Pelodiscus sinensis: one gene and its partner. The protein of the gene in region 1 purifies or fractionates together with the protein of each later gene. This does not show direct contact. Links are inferred from orthologs where the notes say so. Each region holds a gene or a part of one and is shown on either strand. Other genes may lie near its edges. The genes, in order: DICER1 and protein argonaute-1.

Region 1 (9,480 bases):
CAGTCCCTGGGCCTTTGGTTTCCTACCCCTTGCTTACCAGAAGTTAAAAAAAAAAAAGAGCAAAAGTGTTTTTTAGGCACTTCAAACAAAATATATTAATTCTGAATAGATACATGGAGCAGATCCATTGATTGAGGATATGCCATTATGAAAGGTAGAATCATAATTTCAAGAAGTATAGAAAATTGGCAAAGAAATTAGGAATATGCACATTTCATGTGCACTTCACACACTATGGCTGCATGTCCCTTAGCTGTCAGAGTACAGCCCAGTTGCAGTCCAGCTGAAAATTAGATCCTAAGTGACTTGACCAAAGAGTCACAGCAAGTCCAGTGGTAGAACTGAAAATAGAAAGTTGTCGGCTACCCAGCAATTTGCTTGATCCATGAATCTTATTTTCCCAACCAGAGAATTGTGAGTGTATATCAAAGCATGTTGGTATCAACAGCAGAGAACAACAGAGGTCACCATTGTCTTACGGTAAGAAAAATCACTTTTTGAGGATCCATTGTAGAACATTGAGCAGATGCAGAGCCAAAAAGCATACTCCTGGCATGATTCTAAAATTCAGTTGCGTGAGAAAAGCCAAGTACTGGAACAGACTGAGAAAAGGTACAATTTTGAGTATTTCTAGCACACACATGAGGATTTTTTCCCCTGACAGAATAAAAATCACAACTAAATTGCGTGAATTTTGAAATGGAGAAAAAGAAATGTCTCTTTGCCTTACAATCTTTACCACCCAGAATAAGACGTCAATGGTTCTAAATAGCCAAAGCACAGGGAAATCCGATTTTGTGTATGCATGTTTTTTGTTAAAAATTTTAGTCGTCTATTTCTCTTATTCAATCTAATCAACCTATTTGATAATAAGAGCGATAACAACAATATATACTAAAAAGCACAAGTTACAGGATGTTCAGAGAGTTGAAATTCCCTGTTTGCTGTACTTGTTTAGTGTTCTGTATTGCACAGGCTATATCACATATCCTGGCATTAAAATCTGGCATTAAGGAATTTGAAGAAATTATATGAATTTACAGTTAGGGGAAATAAACATTTAAAATCAATTTTATTTACAAAAGCCCACAATCTAAAATATGTGCTTGCAAAATAAAACCAATCAGATTATAAAAGAGGCTAAAATGCACACAGATCCTTACTGTATCATTGCATGAACATTTTCTATATTATTACATGAAATGATTGAGGAAACAATGTGTGGAAATAAAGTGCTCAGAAGTTTTCCTTTGAGTTCTTGGTTCAGATCTTCAGAAGTATTTAGGTGCCTAAATACCCACTGAAATCAGTGCAAGTTAGGTGCCTAAATACCCTTGAGAAGCTGGGCCCTTGTGATTATTTTCCTTTAATAAGCTTTCAGTTTAGATCTTTAGTCCCCCCCAGCTTGCCTTTTAGTTTGCCAGAAACAAATAATCTCTTTAATGGTGGCCTAGAAAGCATTTGTAAGGATTGTTTATCATTTCTGCTACTTCAAAAATTATTACAAATGCGTTATCTTCATTGCTCCAAACATAAGTGGAGAAATAGACCCATGTGTTGTGACAACTCCTGCTGTATAGGACTGAACAGCTGTTCTGTCAGTGGATATTATTATACATCCAACTATGTGAAGTAGAAGGCTGCACCTTGTATGAACTAAAAATACCTAGTTATTTTGTATTGTTTAATAATGGAGACAGTGCACTCAGTGTCAGTCAGGGGTTCACCCATGTGACACAGGTGATAAAACATTTTGCAGCCCATAGTACCTTTAATTTCAAGTTCTCAAAGCCCTTTACAAATATTATATTAAATATGCCTCACAATGCTCCAGTTATGTAGATGAGTATTGTCATACCCATTTGGTAGATGAAGTCACTGAGGCCTAGAGAGATTAAGTCATGCAAGGCCATAGCAAATTACTGGTAGAGCTGGGATAGAACAAATTAGTCAGGATTCCCATGACTAGATTCTCAGCTACAACTGCTTGGCACATCTGGGCAGGAGGATGGTTGGCCACAAGTTGCTTTTACCCCCACCTTTCTGCTCCCTTATTTCTTGACTGGACAACAGGAAGCTGCTTTAGCTCCTGGCACAAGTTGCAAAGGTCCCCTAGGCATTGTTTGGCTGGTTCAGGATCTTCAAGTACAGCATCCGAACCCAACCACTATACCAGGGAGGATGCCAAAAGTGAGTAGTATGGAGCCAGTGACATGTCTTTATGCTACCCAAGGAATCTTCAACACAAGAACAACTGTATACTCAGCTGGTTGTTGCATCTCTATACACTTAGCAAGCTGAAACAGGGGTAGAGGGAATGGAACAAGGCCACCATAGGATCTAACCACTACTATTTTGCTACAAATAGACCATATTCTAGCACACTTATCTATGACTTTCACATAATTATGTATCTACATGCCCCTCACCACTATGGTGTGTGAGTACCATCCATGTTTTTAAAAAGGAAATAATATTAGTTCTCTTTCTCCCTGACCAGCCTGTAGGAGAAATAGTCTGCTTACTTAAAGAGGTTTTGTTTGTGTATACACAAATGGATGAGTGAAGAACTTACGGAGGAAAAAATCAAGTAGGAAAAAAAAGTGTTACATTTAGTTCTTAAAGTGTGGGAGAGCTCATTTCACATCAGAGTGAATTCCATAGTCTAAATCCAAGTGTTGTGCTAGTTCTGTCACCCCTGCTCAAAGGCCTCCTCTTAAAGTAACTCTGAGCTTGTCTCAGTGCAAATGCCTTAACAGCATAGCTATCCAATTAGAGCTATACCACCAAAGCTCCCTAGTGGAGATGTAACTTATACTGACTAATGTGCTGGCATAATTAATCCACTTCCCCAAAGTTCATAGGTGCTATGACAGGCATTCCACATTCTTTATGAGGGGGAAATGCTGATGAATATGACATAACTGGAATAAGCTTTATTCAAGATACTTTATGAGAGATATCATTGGTTGTATCCACAAAAGCTCATGATACCATCTACATGTTTTGTTAGTCTTTAAAGTGCTGCTAGACTATTCGTTGTTTTTTAAGTTTTTCCAGTTACAGACTAACTCGGCTACCCCTCTGAAATCATTGGGAAGGTTTGGATTTATTGAATATATTTAGCCTATTCATATGCAGGGTATCTCTTCTGTATCAGAACTTAGGAATATTGACTGTAAATTTATTATCAGTGTGTTCACGTTGGGAAAAGCCTGTTACAGCCAAGTACAACAATTAAGAAGAAGCCAAACACAGACCTAATGGCCTGTTAGTAAGAGACTATGAACTGTGGGAGACCTTGCTTTTCTTCTAAGCATAAGGATCAGCCTGTAAGAAATGACTACTGGCTCTGAAACACCTGTGATCTGATGCTAGAATAGCATATATAAATAATTGTTACCCAGGGGCGAGGAGTATGTGCATATCTCTTTTTACATTGAGAAAGGGTGTGTCTACACAGCACCTTAAACTCAAAATAAGATACGCAATTTGCACTATGCAAATTGCGTATCTTATCTCAAATCTATTTTGAAAGACTTTATTTCGATATTTGGCACGTCTACACAGCACCAAATTTCAAAATAACATGCTATTTCAAGCCATCCTTTATCCCTTGTTCAATTAGGTTGATCAGGATGGTGAAATAGCACACCTGTTAAAAATATTTTGAAATAACAGATGGCTTATGTAGATGCAGGATAGCTATTTTGGGATACTTGTGGTATCCCAAAATAGCCATGCAGTGTAGACAAACCCAAAGAGAGGCATTTTCATGAGCTTGTACTGTATAGCTATCTATACAACATAAATCAGATTTTTCTAGGATTAGCTCCCAGAGGAGATGTTTACTTGACTTCTGGGAAAAGGACTCACTCTGTGCTGCTTTCAGGTGTATCTGCAGCCTTCATGGTGTGGCCTTATCCTTGTGTTTTGTTTGACGCAAGCTGGAGAGGTAGGCTCAACAAGACAGGGCTCCAGGGTGCCCAGGCTGTCAGGAGAAGCAGGCTCAGTGTTGTCTTGGCACATACCTGCATCCATATGTAGGCTTTTGCTGGCACAGCAATGTTGGTTGGAGTGTGTGAGTTTTCTTCATGCTCCTGGCCAACAAAGTTATGCCAAAAAAACTTGTGTGGACCAGGCCTTTTGTGAGAGATCAGAGTTGGAGAAAGAACTCCTCCCTCAAGTAGGTAGGGCCAATTCCATGGGGAGTTTTAAACTGGGATACAGATTTTGAACTGAATTGTATGTTGAGTAGAGAATCATTAACACCATAGAACTATTTCATCCTCCTTCAAATCCTTCCTAAAAACTCTAATTTGCTGTGATGCCTACAAAAAACTTGGCATAATTGTTAGTCTGGTGGTTTGCTGACCCAGAGGGAGGGAACACAACAGGTAATTGTCAAGTGATCTCTCTCCTGTCACCCATTTCCAGCCTCTCACAAACAGAGGCTAGGGACACCATTCCTATCCATCCTAGCCATTGATGGTAATCTCCATGAATTTATCTAGGTGTTTTAAATTTGATCATTTGAAGATTACCCGTTCTGTTCATTCCCTCTAGAGCACCTGTCATTGGCCACTATTGGAAAACAGCATATTGGGCTAGATGGAGCCTTGTTCTGACCCAGTATGGCTGTTCTCATGTTCCAGCACAAGCTCCTACCCCTACCCCCTCCCTGAGGCCGCCTCTGCACCCCTTCACCCCCAGCCCCACCCCAAAGCCTTCATCACCTGCACTTCTGCCTCTTGCCCCACCCTAAAACCCTTACTCCCTCCTGCATCTTGAATCCCTCAGGCCCACCCCTCAGCCTGGCGCTCCCTACTGCACAGCAAACCCTTCATCCCTTTCCCCACTCCAGAGCCCAGCTGGTGCCCTCAGCATCTCCCGCCCCCGCCCCGCGAAAGGAGGGAGGGGGGGGCTTGTGGGGGGAGGCGGGGCCGCGGGCGAAAGGCGGAGCCAGGATGTTGGGGGCACCAATAGAAAGTTGGCAACCCTAGAGCTGGGTATCCTCCCCCTCCGCCACCTGAGCTGGGAGGTGAGCGGGGAATCGGCTCCTGAAACTCGCCCCCCGCCGGAAGAGGCGTCTGCGTGCGGTATCTCCCGCCTGTGCGGAGCGAGGGCGCCTGCGTGCGACACCATCGCCCCGGGGCGCGCCACGCAGGGTTCAGCAGGGAATAGAGAGGACGAAGCAACACACGTGAGTCCGTGGAAGGCTCCTGCCGTCCCAAGCGTTTGCTGTCTCCTGTCAGCTGATTGGCCATCCTGTAAACCCTTGACCTCTGACCCCCTTTTTACTCCAATCGCCTCACTCCTCTCATGGGCTGGGGAGAGTGGAGGGTGTGAGCTGTGGGGGTTGGCATTCTCAGAGCGGCTGTACGCTGCTTGCGTTGGGCGGTCCTGTGGTGGTGGGTGGAGGGCGCGGGGTGGTGCTCTGTTTGCGTAGGGCCGGCCTCGCACGGGGAAGGGAGGGTAGGAGGCTGTCCCGGGCCCAGGTGAATGGAGGAACCTGACAGCTGGGGGGAGTGAGGCCGCGGCGGGGAAATGGCGGCGGGAGCAGCACAATGAGACGCGGCCTGTAGCGGGGAAGCGCTGGTCTGGGTCCAGCTCGGCAGGTAGGAGGCGGCGGGCGGCTCTGGCGTGTGCCTGGGCCGGTGGCTTCATGGCGGGGCCGGGCACCCAGCGGCGGGGCCGGGCAGCTTGTGCCACCGCCCGCTCTGGACATGTGCGCGGCTCGGCCCCTTTGGCGCCCGGCTGAGCCTCCCCTCGCTCCCAAGGCCTGGTTCACCTGTGCGCAGCCCCCGCCTGGCCCTGCCTGCCGGGGCCTAGCCACCCCCGTTGCCGCCATGCCCATGGACCCGGCTCAGCGGCGCCCAAGGCGAAGGGTCTCCGACGGGGGCCTGCGTCTCAGCCCTTCTCGCTGGCTTTGTCTTCTCTCTCTCCCCGGGCCTGCTGAGGAGCCCCGTCCCCACGCATCCCTGCCTCCCTCAGACCACAGCTGGGATTCCCGGGAGTTGCTTCCCCAGCGCCAATGAGAGACCCGTTATTAAAGGGGTGAAGGGCTTTTGATGCGGGTGTGGAGGGGTGTAGTTCTAACTGATAAATGTTACTCCTGGAGAGTTTTTAAGGATCGCTTCTCTCTCTCCTTCACCACCTCCCCTAGCTGAAACTAGCGGGGGCACTGCATGCCGTAAATATACAGTGAGAACATTACAAGATCCTCCCCCATAACCTGTATGAAAAATATTGCAAAGTCCAAGTGGCACATTAAAGCATTTACGTTGTGCTCCATGCTATAGAAAAGAAAGTGCTGCAATAGGGGAAAAAAAGTGGGTCATATATTGATACAAACCTGAAACAAACTCTTGCATTTCTTTGTGTATTGATTTTGTTCCTGAGATAACAGGCCTTTGGGAGAAGATAGCTTGTTGATGGGGTTAAGTCTTGGCCACTGAAAACTTAGAACATCCTATACACTTGGGCTGTGTCTACATTGGCAAGATTTTGCACAAAAGTGGCCGCTTTTGTGCAAAATCTTGCTGCCTGTCTACACTGGCCACGAGTATTTGCACAAGAACACTGATGTTGTAATGTACAAAATCAGGGCTTCTTGCACAAATACTCTGACGTTTCTGCTCAGGCAATGTTAATTTCTTGCGCAAGAAAGCCCGATGGCTAAAATAGCCATTGGAGCTTTCTTGCACAAGAGAGCGTCTACACTGGCACGGATGCTTTTGCACAAAAGCTCATGTCAGTGTAGATGCTCTCTTGTGCAAATACTTTTAACGGAAGAGTTTTTCCCCAATAAAAGTATTTGCGCTAAATCATGCCAGTGTAGACGTAGCCTTAATATTATCAGTTCTGTTTTTTAAGCAGCAAATGATTGCTTAAGCAAGATGGCCATGAATTCCACTAGTGAGAAAGGGAGAGCCTGCCTATTTAGTTTACAAATCTAGAGATCTCATGTGAAAACACTTTGATGTATATCTTTAGTTAACTAATCAGTGTGTGTTTAGTAATGCTTATTCTTCTCCTGTTGTCCTGTGTCTTGTTTAGACTGTAAATTCATTGGGAGGTTCATTCTTTTATTTGTGAAGTGCTATATACAGAAGCAGAGTTGCATATATATTTTTAACAACTCTGGTCTTTTAATGGTTTGATATAGGTACAAACTCAATCCCCATGTATCTTAATATTTTTCTAAAGGGAAGGCCTTTCCATGCTAGCTCATATCTTGTGGGGTCACAATCTGTAGTATTTAATGAAAAATATTAAAATGCTCCTTTTTAGTCCTAAGCAGCTCACCTAGAAAATAGTGGTGTATTTCTCCTGTTCCTACCCTTTTAATACAAGTAGATAGTGGTTATGGCTACAATTGTGTAATGGATATTTTTTGGTAAAAATCAGGGTCAGGTCATCTACTATTGAGAGTTAGTCTGTTTGTTCAAGAACTCCTCCTAAATGATAAGAGCTAGAAGGGCAATCAAATTCAGTATACAGCTTCCTCTTTATTATAACTTAAAGCAATGTAAGGCTTTGTTGTGCCTGGACTGGGATTGCTTCTCATAAAGCCATATAGAAAAGAGACAGAATCACCACACAGGTGAAAAGTGCTGGCTGGCAGCAATCAGCAATCCTCCTGAATTCCTCCCCTCCCATGTAGGATTGCTCCAACCCTGAGCCTCCTGCCCCCAGATGCCCCCACCAGTTAGTACAGGGATATTGCTGGCCTTTCCCCTTCATCAGGAAACAAGATGAAAATTCACAGTTTGCTGTATTTCTCACTCATGGGTAGTGCTGGAGGGACAGGCAAGCTAAGCTGTGGACTTTGCTCTCACTCTCTGACAGGGACAGAAAAAGGAAGAGCAAGCAGCTCTGGTATGAATTGGGGAAGAAGGGGAGGCTGGCTTTGCCCCTTTTCTGTGTGTGGGTATGTCTAGACTGCATCCTCTGTCAGAGGGATGCAGATTAGGCAGGTTGACATTGCAAATGAGGCAGGGATTTAAATACAGGCAGTCCCCGACTTACGCGGATCTGACTTATGTCGGATCCGCACTTACGAACGGGGCTTTTCTCGCCCCGGAGCTCACGGGCGGCGGGTCGCCACCCGTGTCCTCTGGGGTGAGAAAAGCTTCTCCCGGTCTCCCTGGTCTGCTGGGAGGGTCCAGCAAAGCCGCTGGACCCCCCTCCCCCCCCAGCAGACCAGGGGGACAGGAGCAAAGCTGCCCAGGTGGCGGTTTTGCTCGGGTGTCCCTGGTCTGCTGGGGGGGGTCCAGCGGCTTTGCTGGACCTCTCCAGCAGACCAGGGAGACAGGAGCAAAGCCACACGGGCGGAGGGGTCCCCTCCGCCTGTGCGGCTTTGCTCGGGTCTCCCTGGTGTGCTGGGAGGGACTCCCCCTAGCACCCCAGGGAGACAGGGGTGCGCTCCCCACCCAGCAGACCAGGTTTTTGTTGCGGGATGCCTCGGGTAGAGCAGCTGGGGTGCTGCCGGGTTGGTCCTGTGGGAACCTACCGGGCAGCGCCCCAGCTGTTCTGTCCCAGGCTCCAGATTCAGCAGCTGTTGAAACTGATCAGGCTGATTCCAGGAAGCTGGGGCAGAGCAACTCTGCCTCCGGCTTACTGTAGTCAGCCCCTGGTCAGTTTCAGCGGCAGCAGCTGAATCTGGAGCCAGTTCTGACTTACATGCAAATTCAACTTAAGAACAAACCTATAGTCCCTATCTTGTACGTAACCCGGGGACTGCCTGTATCCTGTGCCTAATTTGCATAAAAGTGGCTACCACATTTTGCCGAATCAGCACTTTGTCGGCAAAAAGCGGCAGTTTGGAGGGGGATCTGTCGAGAAAGAAAGCCTTTTTCGACAGATCCCTTATGCCTCCTGCAAGGAGGTTTACGGGATCTGTCGAAAAAGGCTTTCTTTCTCGACAGATCCCCCTCTAGAGTGCCACTTCTTGCTGACAAAGTGCTAAGTTGGCAAAACATGGTGGCCATTTTTATGCAAATTAGGCACGGGATATTTAAATCCCTGCTTCATTTGCAATGTCGACCTGCCTAATCTGCATCTCTCTGCTGCCAGAGGGATGCAATCTAGACACACCCTGTGTGTATATATACACGCACAGTTCCCTGCCCTGCACAGTTCCTATACGTCCCCCACCTCCTGGCCTGAGCCCATCCTCACTAGGGGATGTAATAGTGTAGTCAAGTAACTGATAAGCAAAAGCTTATCGATTAATGCTATAGACTACACGCATCCCCCCTCCCCAGGCCAGTACATATTTTTAGCAGGGTAGCCAGCAGCTTTGCTCAGTCCTGGCTTTTGTTGGGTCTGGGACATACCACCACTGTGGCTCTGCATTTAAAGTGTATTAGGAGCCAGGTGAGCAGGAATCCCAGCTCAGTTCTGGCTCCCATGCAGTCTGGGACTCAGACCCTCCCTGGAATGGAACTGCTGCCACCTCTACACTGCTGCCTCCAT
Region 2 (10,390 bases), on another chromosome or scaffold:
TGAAGTATTAGCTTCTAGGTATCAATATACAGAGGAGATATTTCCTCATGACACTAAAAACACCCACGTTATAATTTAGGCTTTGATGTGTTCAAGTTAAATCAGTTTGCTTCAGAATCAAGCCAACTCCAAAGCTCATCAGATTAGTTTCAAAGAGCTTTATAAAAGCCAATGTTCTAGCATCACTACTGATTTTCTTCTCTCCACCCACCGCCCTTTAGACTGTAACGTTTTGTAGGAAATTAAAGCAGCACATTTGAGATTACAATAAAAACATCCAAGGAAGCCATGCTAACGAGAATTAAATGAGCGGCTGCAACAAAAAATGGCAGTTTAAAGGATGTTTGGAGGGCTCTGGCAGGATAGGGTCAGGCAGTTTTAAAATCAAGCAGCCAAGGACAGGACAATACCAGACACATTGTTAGCCAGTCACATTGTTTAACAGGGTGTGCTGGGGAGAAGCAATGATGAGGGCACTAGAATGAATCTCTTTAGCAACAGTCGCTGCCTCCCCTCTCCAGCTGTCAGGCGTGCAAAGGAAGCCCAGACTTTGCGCATGCCCCAAGCACAGAGGCAGAAACCACTTCATTCTGTCACAAGAAAACGGCAGCTACTGACTGTTGTGTCCAAACAAGAGCGCGCCAGCACTCCTGCTCCAGGAGCAAGCCCGATCCGCTGTCTCTTACCCTAACGTCTCTCCTGCACTCATGTGAGGTGAAGGGGACAGACAGAAACAGGAGATTTTGCCTCCACTCTCTAACCTGGAAATAAAAGCCATTTGCTGGGATTTGAGATATAAAAAGAGTCTTTGGAAGTCCAGGACCTTCGAAGCAGGATTCATCTATTCACACCATGCTCCGCAAGGACATGCACCTGCTGCTCAACTCAACAGCCCTTCATCCCGCCCCTTGCAGCTGCCTCTGTTCCCCAGGTCCCCTCCCCCCACTCAGCCTCTTGTAGGAACCTGCTGCCTCCCACCACCATCCTGATGGGGCTTGAGGCTCCATTATGCAGCAGTCCACTTCCTTTGCAACCAGCGCCTTGCACAACCTTGTTCCAGTTGGCAATCCACCCCCAGAAGCCCTCTCTGTTTTGTACAGCACCCGCCCAGCCTTCTTCACTACAGGGCAGCCCAAGCAATAGCTCTCTTTCCATGCTTCCTCTCTCTGGAGCCGTTGGATATTCTGATTTCTTTAAAGAGTCTTCTCCTTTTCACAACCCCACAATGCAAAGCTGCTACCCCATCGCTGCCTCAACAACACATGACACCCGCTCCTATAAATGCTCAACCCCCGAGGTTCCTCCCTTACAACACCCCCACGCTCAATCCTTCGTGCACAACACTCTTCCTTGACACCCCCATCTTCCCACATGACACCCTTCTCCGGCTGCTGAGCCTCCTTCTTACAATACACAGCACTGTACAAACACCAATACAGAGCCTTCTTGGCCACCAACTTCCCAGAACCCCCACCACAATACAGTCTTCCATACAGGAGTGAGTCCCCCTACACTTACAGTGCACCAATACCTCTCTCTCCCCTTCCCTCTCCACTGCTCAGCCCTCCTGGACCCCACCTCACAGACCCCAAACCTACAAACGTACAGCCCCCATCTCTCTCAAATCCCCCCATTGCACATGCCCCGCCGTAATTTATAGCCTTCCTTCCCCACTGCACAGTCCTCCTGGAGCTCACACTGCAGACCGCCTGCCCCATACTGCATCAACAGCTCCTCCACCCCTCTGCACAGCCTCTCGCCCCGACTACAGCCCCTAGGTACACACTGCACCAACTCCCCTTCTTCTTTCACACCATCACTGTATAGCCCAGACATCCACAATACCAAGTCTCCTGTCCTCCCCTACACAGGACCTCCCCCCCCCACTTCTCTTCATTTCAACCCCAGACCACCATACTGCACACATTCCCCTTCTCCTTTTGTAACCCCACAGACCCCCATCCCAATATTGCACCAATTTCCTTCTTTTCTTTTGTGCAGCCTCTCCCCCATCCCCATACTGAACTTCCCATTTCACAATCCCCCCAGTGCACCACATGCCTTTCCCAGTGTACCATGTGCACAGTTCCTCCCCCATCACATTGTACCAGCTCGCCTGCCCAGAGCACCCCACTGCACAGTCCCATCACCCCACTTAAGCCCCAATGCAGCCCCTTACAGCCCACCTTGCTCAACTCTCTTGCACACCACTGCACAGGCCCATCACACCACTGCAGCCACTTTGCAACCCACTGCACAGCCACATCATCCCAATGCAATCGCTTTGTACACCACTGCACAGCCCCACCATACCCAGTTCAGGTCCACTGCACAGCCCTCCTTTACACAACTCTATCACCCCACTTCAGCCCCAGTGCAGCCCCCTTGCTCAGATCTCTTGCCCCCTTGAGCCCCACTACACAACCACATCACTCCACTGCAGCCCCTTTGTACCCCTCTGTGCAGCCCCATCACCCCACTGCACAGTCCCCTTGCTCCTTGGACCCAACTGCAGCTCCTTTGTATACCCACTTCAGCCCCACTGCACAGCCCCCCTTGCTCAGCTCTCTTGCAACCCACTGCACAGTCCCCTTGCTCAGCTCCCCTGCCCCCTTACATCCCACTGCAACCCCATCACCCCACTGCACAGCCCCATCATCCTAGTGCACAGCCCTCTTGCCCCCCACTGCAGCCCCTTTGCATCCCACTGTATAGCCCCCCCTTTGCTCAGCTCTCTTACGCCCTGACAGCCCCATTACCCACTGCTCAGCCCCCTTGCCCCTCACTACAGCCCCTTTGCAACCCACTGCACAGCCCCCCCTGCTCAGCCCCCTTGCGCCCCACTGCACAGCCCCATCACCCCACTGCACAGCCCCCTTGCCCCTCACTGCAGCCCCTTTGCATCCCACTGCACAGCCCCCTTGCACCTCACTGCACAGCCCCTTTGCATCCCACTGCACAGCCCCCCCGCTCAGCCCCCTTATGCCCCACTGCACAGCCCCATCACCCCACTGCACAGCCCCCTTGCACCTCACTGCAGCCCCTTTGCATCCCACTGCACAGCCCCCTTGTGCCCCACTGCAGCCCCTTTGCATCCCACTGCACAGCCCCCCCGCTCAGCCCCCTTGCGCCCCACTGCACAGCCCCATCACCCCACTGCACAGCCCCCTTGTGCCCCACTGCAGCCCCTTTGCATCCCACTGCACAGCCCCCCCGCTCAGCCCCCTTGCGCCCCACTGCACAGCCCCCTTGCACCTCACTGCAGCCCCTTTGCATCCCACTGCACAGCCCCCCCGCTCAGCCCCCTTGCGCCCCACTGCACAGCCCCATCACCCCACTGCACAGCCCCCTTGCACCTCACTGCAGCCCCTTTGCAACCCACTGCACAGCCCCCCCGCTCAGCCCCCTTGCGCCCCACTGCACAGCCCCATCACCCCACTGCACAGCCCCCTTGCCCCTCACTGCAGCCCCTTTGCATCCCACTGCACAGCCCCCTTGTGCCCCACTGCAGCCCCTTTGCATCCCACTGCACAGCCCCCCCGCTCAGCCCCCTTGCGCCCCACTGCACAGCCCCATCACCCCACTGCACAGCCCCCTTGTGCCCCACTGCAGCCCCTTTGCATCCCACTGCACAGCCCCCCCGCTCAGCCCCCTTGCGCCCCACTGCACAGCCCCCTTGCACCTCACTGCAGCCCCTTTGCATCCCACTGCACAGCCCCCCCGCTCAGCCCCCTTGCGCCCCACTGCACAGCCCCATCACCCCACTGCACAGCCCCCTTGCACCTCACTGCAGCCCCTTTGCAACCCACTGCACAGCCCCCCCGCTCAGCCCCCTTGCGCCCCACTGCACAGCCCCATCACCCCACTGCACAGCCCCCTTGCCCCTCACTGCAGCCCCTTTGCAACCCACTGCACAGCCCCCCCGCTCAGCCCCCTTGCGCCCCACTGCACAGCCCCATCACCCCACTGCACAGCCCCCTTGTGCCCCACTGCAGCCCCTTTGCATCCCACTGCACAGCCCCCCCTTGCTCAGCCCGCAGAGCCCAGTCCCCGCTCCGCTACCTGCTCCCGAGGGTCCTGCTTCCATCCCATCCACGCGGGCACGGCTCCGGGCTGGGCTCACCGCGGGGGGGGGGGGGGGGCCGGGCGCTGCTCCCTCCGCCTCCCGCTGCTGCTGCTGCTGCGGCCGCCGCAGCCTCTGGGCAGCCTCCTCCCCGCCTGGGCCCCAGTGCGCAGGCGCGGCCGCCGGGCCAACCAGCGCCGACGCGAGCGCCCGGCCCCAGCGCCAACAAAGGCGGCGGGGCGGGGACAGCGCCCCCTGGCGGGGCGGCAGCCCTCCGAGGGCCTGGAGAGCGGATGCAGAGCGCCGCCATCTTGGATCCAGAGCGAGACTGGGCAGTTGTCCTGGAGGGGATGATGGGGGGTGGGGCAAAGGGAGTGGGTGCTGGCTGTGCATTGGGGGGGGGCGCTCTTGTGCAATGGGGGGGGGGCTAAGGGAGGAATTGCTGGCTGTGCAATGGGGGGCTAAGAGGAGGTGCTCTTGTGCAATGGGGGGGCTAAGGGAGGAAATGCTGGCTGTGCAATGGGGGGGCTAAGAGGAGGTGCTCTTGTGCAAAGGGGGGCTAAGGGAGGAAATGCTGCCTGTGCAATGGGGGCTAAGAGGAGGTGCTCTTGTGCAAAGGGGGGCTAAGGGAGGAAATGCTGCCTGTGCAATGGGGGGCTAAGAGGAGGTGCTCTTGTGCAAAGGGGGGCTAAGGGAGGAAATGCTGGCTTTGCAGTGGGGGCTAAGAGGGAATGCTGTTGTGCAATGGGGGGCTAGAGGAAGGAGTGCTGGGGTGCAGTGGGTGGTTGGGGGAGGGCTGCGCAGTTGGGGTGCAGGAGCACTGCTGCCTGTGCAATGGGAAAGGAGAGGAGAGTGGGACCTGGCCCGGGCAAGATTGTTGGCTGTACAGTTGTCAGGGGGTGGTGGTACAATGGGCAGATGGGCTTGGGGCGGGAGGAGAATTGTGCAAGGAGATGAGGTGAGATGGTGAACCTGGCAGGAGTGGGTGCCTGTTGCAAAAAGGGAGGAGAAAGATGCAGTCCTTCCCTACGATGGAAGTGTGACCTAGGGCAAAGGATGGAGACTCGCCTTGGTAGGAGGAGGAACTGAAACCCAGCACTGTGAGGGAAGCGTTTGGAAATGAAGGGAACAGAGTGGCAATAGTACGGGCATTGGTGGTGGCAGTGGCACAGATTGGTTTGTTCGCATCAAAAGAAGTTGAGAACATGGAGGAAGCATGGCAGGGCTGGCACAGTGCCAGCTCTCCTCATGCAATTTACTCACACACCAGGAATCAAGAATGTATCCAGTGCCACAAGAACAATGAGGCTGATCGGTTCCTTTGAAGTGCAAAATGCCCTCTTCCGAAGCGAATTTGACCCTTTAGATTTGGCCCTTAAATTATATTTGGGTAAAAAAAGCTTTTATAAAACTCAAGCCCAATAAATATGTTTCCACAATTCGGTTTTAATGCCAATAAAATAGCAATGGGGAGCTAAGAGAGGGGGTGCTGGCTGTGCAAGAGGCATTCTTCTGCAGTGTCAACACTCTTGGCATGGCAGTACTGTGAGCCTGAAAGTGAAACTGATCATAAGCCATGAAATTGACTTCATAGTCCAACCACAGAAGAAAGCAGGAAGTTAAACAAAGAGCATAAACCCTGACAAGGCAATTGGATTTTCAAAATCCTTCCAATTTTATTTAGGGATGTAAAATCCCATTTAAAAAGTTAACCAGCTAAACATTAAGTTTAACCTGATTACTGGGATCCCACAGACAGGGGGCCCACTGCGCTGCAGGCTGCTCTGGTCAAGTAAGATGCTGTGCTGCAGGCAGGGGTTGCTCAGGTCGGGCCCAGCTGCCAGTTAACCACTTCCCCAGTAAGCATCAGGGTGATGGCAAGTTAACCAATTAACCCTTTACATACCTACTTTTATTAATCTAGTATGGTTATACCTTGAGTGCTGATCCTTATGTATGTGCTGAACATAGGCTATTCCCATGGATAACCTAATGTGTCCAAGTGTTTGCAGGATCAGAGCCATAGCTAAAGAAATGTTTACCACCTAAGATTTAAGTTGTCAGTATCCTTTTAACACTCAGATAAATGTGCAAATTCCACATACACCAATTGCCATTTAGCTTGAGAATGAGGTAGAGAAACAGCTCAAAAGGTCGCCTCTGCCTCTCCTCCTCTGCAAACCCTGCCTGTCTGAAAACCACCACATACTGAGTCTTCAAGCAGTAGGGGTGCTCATGATTATCTTTGCTCTAGTGGGAAGGCCAAATTCAATACAAAACAGAATAAAAATGGAACTAAGGTAGATGCAACACAGTGAATCTAGAAGGATGTGAAAGAACTTTACAGTAACATAAGAACATAAGAACGGCCGTACTGGGTCAGACCAAAGGTCCATCTAGCCCAGTATCCTGTTTACCGACAGTGGCCAGCACCAGGTACCTCAGAGAGGGTTGACCGAAGACAATGATCAAGCGATTTGTCTCCTGCCATCCCTCTCCAGCCTCTGACAAACAGAGGCCAAGGACACCATTTTATCCCCTGGCTAATAGCCTTTTATGGACCTAACCTCCATGAATTTATCCAGCTTCTCTTTAAACTCTATTATAGTCCTAGCCTTCACCACCTCCTCTGGCAAGGAGTTCCACAGGTTGACAACACGCTGTGTGAAGAAGAACTTCCTTTTATTCGTTTTAAACCTGCTACCCATTAATTTCATTTGGTGTCCTCTAGTTCTTCTATTATGGGAACTAATAAATAACTTTTCTTTATCAGCCCTCTCCACACCACTCATGATTTTATAGACCGCTATCATATCCCCCCTCAGTCTCCTCTTTTCTAAACTGAAAAGTCCCAGTCTCTTTAGCCTCTCCTCTTAACTTTGCATAATATATAAAGGTTGTTCTAAGGAATTCAGATAAGCACTTTCCTTAGACTCTCTGTACCTTTCATCAGAGCATCATCCAATAAAAAATAAATGTTTTAACAACTAAGTTATCCCTGGCTGAGCCAGATTGGAACACTTTAGATTTCCTAGTAGGTTCATGGGGAGACACATGGCAGGGTATTTTTGGAGAGTCATTGTTCTGTGCCAGGCGAATGAGTAAACAGTAGGGGACGATTGAATTTATTAGCACTTTTATTGTTTTAAGTTTGATTCTTTATGCAACTTGTTGGCAGATGGGAAGGAGAAATTGGTGTATTTGACATTAGGGGTGTTTGGTAGTGCTGTGTTAGAAGCACCCCCTTGTGGTTATGGGTAATGTGTAAAGACAGCTACACAAAGAAAAGATCCACAGCATTACAATGCCTTGGAAGGGAAATGGGATCTAGGAATATAGGGGTCAGTGAAAGTGTTTGGTTTAGCTGTACACTAGGGCACCCACCTTACCCCATTCCTATGGCCCAGGGCGTAACCTACCGGGTTGTTGGGTCCTTTACTAGTGAAAGAGCCTTACACATATATCTGTAACCTCTATTTATTAAACAATCCCCAAGACAGAATGCCCACGCCGAACATACAACGCACACCACTCCCAATAAGCCAGATGAACTTTTCCTGCTGGACATCCAGGATCCTGTCATCCAGTGACTGCAGCTTCTGCACAACAGAGTGGGCACAGGTTTGAGGTCTGGCAGCTCTGATCTTTGGCTGTGTCCTGGGGTTGGTTCCAATGAACTTCCTTTTGGAAATTCCATCCCTGCTATTATTGACATACTCACTCTGCAGGGAATGTGACTTGTGTGGGTGACACTGAAATGGGGGTTTTTCCCCCTAGACAGCTGAATCATCCCTCAATACCAAGGATCAGAATCTTTCACCGGGGCCATAACATTATTGCCTTAGCATTTATATTGCTGTAATGCCAGGCATCTCTCTGAAAGCATATTCCAGGAAGCCATGTGTGACTAAAAAAAGTAACCTTCACATCCCAGTTTTCTTTCACACTCAGTTCTCAGATTAACAGTGTAATGAGCAGAAGCTAATTGAATTGAAAATGCCATTGCAGAGCAAGGAACTGGGCAGCAGGACTCCTGGATTCCATTCTTGGCTCTACCAATGACTTACCACGAAATACACCTTTGTGTCTCGGTTTCACCCTCTCTGGAACCTGTTCCTTAATACTCAGGGTATGTCTACACTACAGAGTTTTGTTGGGAAAATGGCTGTTTTTCCAACAAAATCTGAGTTACATCCACACTGCAATCGCATTCTTCTGAAAGTAAATCAAAAGAACAGAGGGGTTTTTCTGGCGTTGGTAAATCTCTTTCTACAAGGAAGAAGCCTCTTTCCGAAAAGAACTCTTTCGGAAAGAGGTGGGTGTGGACGGGGAAGAAGGAGTTCTTTTGCAAGAAGAGGAAAGAGGAAAAAGCACAGGTGCCCTGGTGGCCACTCCATTCATAGTAATCACAGCTTAAATGCAAGAGAGTGTCCATTCAGTGTGGACACTATCTTTTGAAAAAGGAGATCGCTTTTTCAATGTGCTTTTATGTGTGGATGCTGTCTTTTGGAAGAAGTTTTTTTGGAAGGTCTGCTTTCATTTATGCTTAAACCTTGGGGCTCCTCCTAGAACAAAGGAGATTGACTGTGGCGTCATTCTAACCCTACTTATCATTAACCTTCCCATAGGAGGCTGGAGCAGAGGCACTGACAATAGTTAACTGTACATGCCAAATTAATGTAAATTACATGATCATGAGGGTGCCATTTGATTATATAAGCAGCGCTTTAAGTATTAGGGTTGTTAAAATGCATTAATTTTGATAAATGCATCCCCGCTGAAATTTTCAGTGGATACACATTTATATGCAAGGGGAAAGAGATGCAGCTCCACAGGAGCTGGTACATGCGGGGAGCCAGCTTTTAAGCCAGCTTCCTGTGTGTACCAGCTCCTGCGGAGCCACCTGCCTCCATTGAGGAGGCTGGGGGGGAAGAGGCAGCAGCGCAGCATGGGGGCAGGCAGGTGGCTCCGCTGGTGTTGGTGTTTGCAGGGAGCCTGCTTAAAAGCCAGCTCTTCACAAGCACCTCCCCCCTCCCCATGCCACTGCACGTAACAGTTAAACGTTTACACTATCACATCCTTAATATATATATAACAGTTGACCCTCTGCTAAATCCTAAAACTGGCATCCAGTGTCCCTTGAGAGGATTCTAGTGCTGGTAGATCCAGTTTTCTGAAGATGCACCATTATCTTCTTGTTGTGGCACTTCCTGGATTTATTATTCAACAGCAGTGAAAAAACTGTAGCCTAAATAAAAGACAAAGTCAGTAACCACGATAAGACAGCAACCGTGACGGGGGTTAATAATGACCGACCCAAATAATTTTTGTTTGGCTGTTGCAATACAACTAGTGGGTCACCTGCAGATGTTTCATTTATTTTGGGGTGTCCACAAAAGGACAGCAAATTGAGGGCAAGACCGTTAGTATTAAATGGTAAGACAGAAAGAAGGGCAAGAAACAATGGAAGTAGACACAGCTCGCGGGAACCTACCAAGCAGATGCAGACTTAATATTGACAGCGAAGGAAGAGGTTCATTTCCTCTGAAGGGTAATCGTGCCAGACAGAGCTGCCTTTGCCACGGGCAGTGGTGACATCAGCATCATTGGCAGGAAGGGTTCAGTTAACTAGACATGCTGTCAAGTCTGCTCTGTGTCATTGGATTTCTCCAGCACCCTCTCTGCTTCCTATTTCCATCAATCCTACCTACGCAGACCCAGGGAATGCAGAAGGGGGTCTGCTGGAATTCTCTGCACATTTGGGACGCTGGCATCTCACAAACCTGCTGCTACTCACATGACAAGAGCTGGGCTCTAAATTCTAACTTCAGGACAGACGTAAAATCCATTATGGAACAGAACCAGCCACAGGACAGAGGCCAAGATCCTAAAAGACATTTAGACGCCAATCTCCCCCTCCCCCCCCAAAAAAACAAAACACCCCACACTGGTAGTTCAGTACCTCAATTCCTTGGTAAATCTAGGCCCTTGTATTTACAAAGCATTCGACCACAATCAGGGTACCTCCTGTGCTCCAAAGAGCACACATTTACCTGGACGCACTGCTTCCTCTCAGTGCAATGCCAGGCATTACCATGACCAGTTTAGTAACAGGACAATACTTAGGCTCTAGTGTAGCCATAGCCTAAGTCAACCGCAGTTATGTTACTCAGGGTATAAATTAGCCATCCCCGCGTGACAACTGATGACACAAGCATTGGGGTGTACCACACTGCCAGCAGGAGAGCTTCTTTTGACAGAGCTGCCCCCCCTCAGGGTACATCTACATTATAGAGTTTTTCTGGGATACCTCCTGCATCCCAGAAA

What was found.
Region 2: the proteins of DICER1 (region 1) and protein argonaute-1 purify together in Homo sapiens (co-immunoprecipitation; 7 studies listed by BioGRID and IntAct, with this or other methods). This does not show direct contact. The link is inferred for Pelodiscus sinensis from reciprocal best matches to the Homo sapiens genes DICER1 and AGO1.

Annotation. Positions count from the first base shown.
Region 1 is NC_134714.1:28,334,553-28,344,032, forward strand, and holds the start of DICER1 (endoribonuclease Dicer), read left to right. Parts: upstream 1-4,992; 5' UTR 4,993-5,203; intron 5,204-5,434; exon of another isoform or gene 5,435-5,618; intron 5,619-9,480. UniProt on the Homo sapiens protein: Double-stranded RNA (dsRNA) endoribonuclease playing a central role in short dsRNA-mediated post-transcriptional gene silencing.
Region 2 is NC_134735.1:7,520,775-7,531,164, reverse strand, and holds the start of protein argonaute-1, read right to left. Parts: upstream 4,226-10,390; 5' UTR 4,088-4,225; coding exon 4,063-4,087; intron 1-4,062.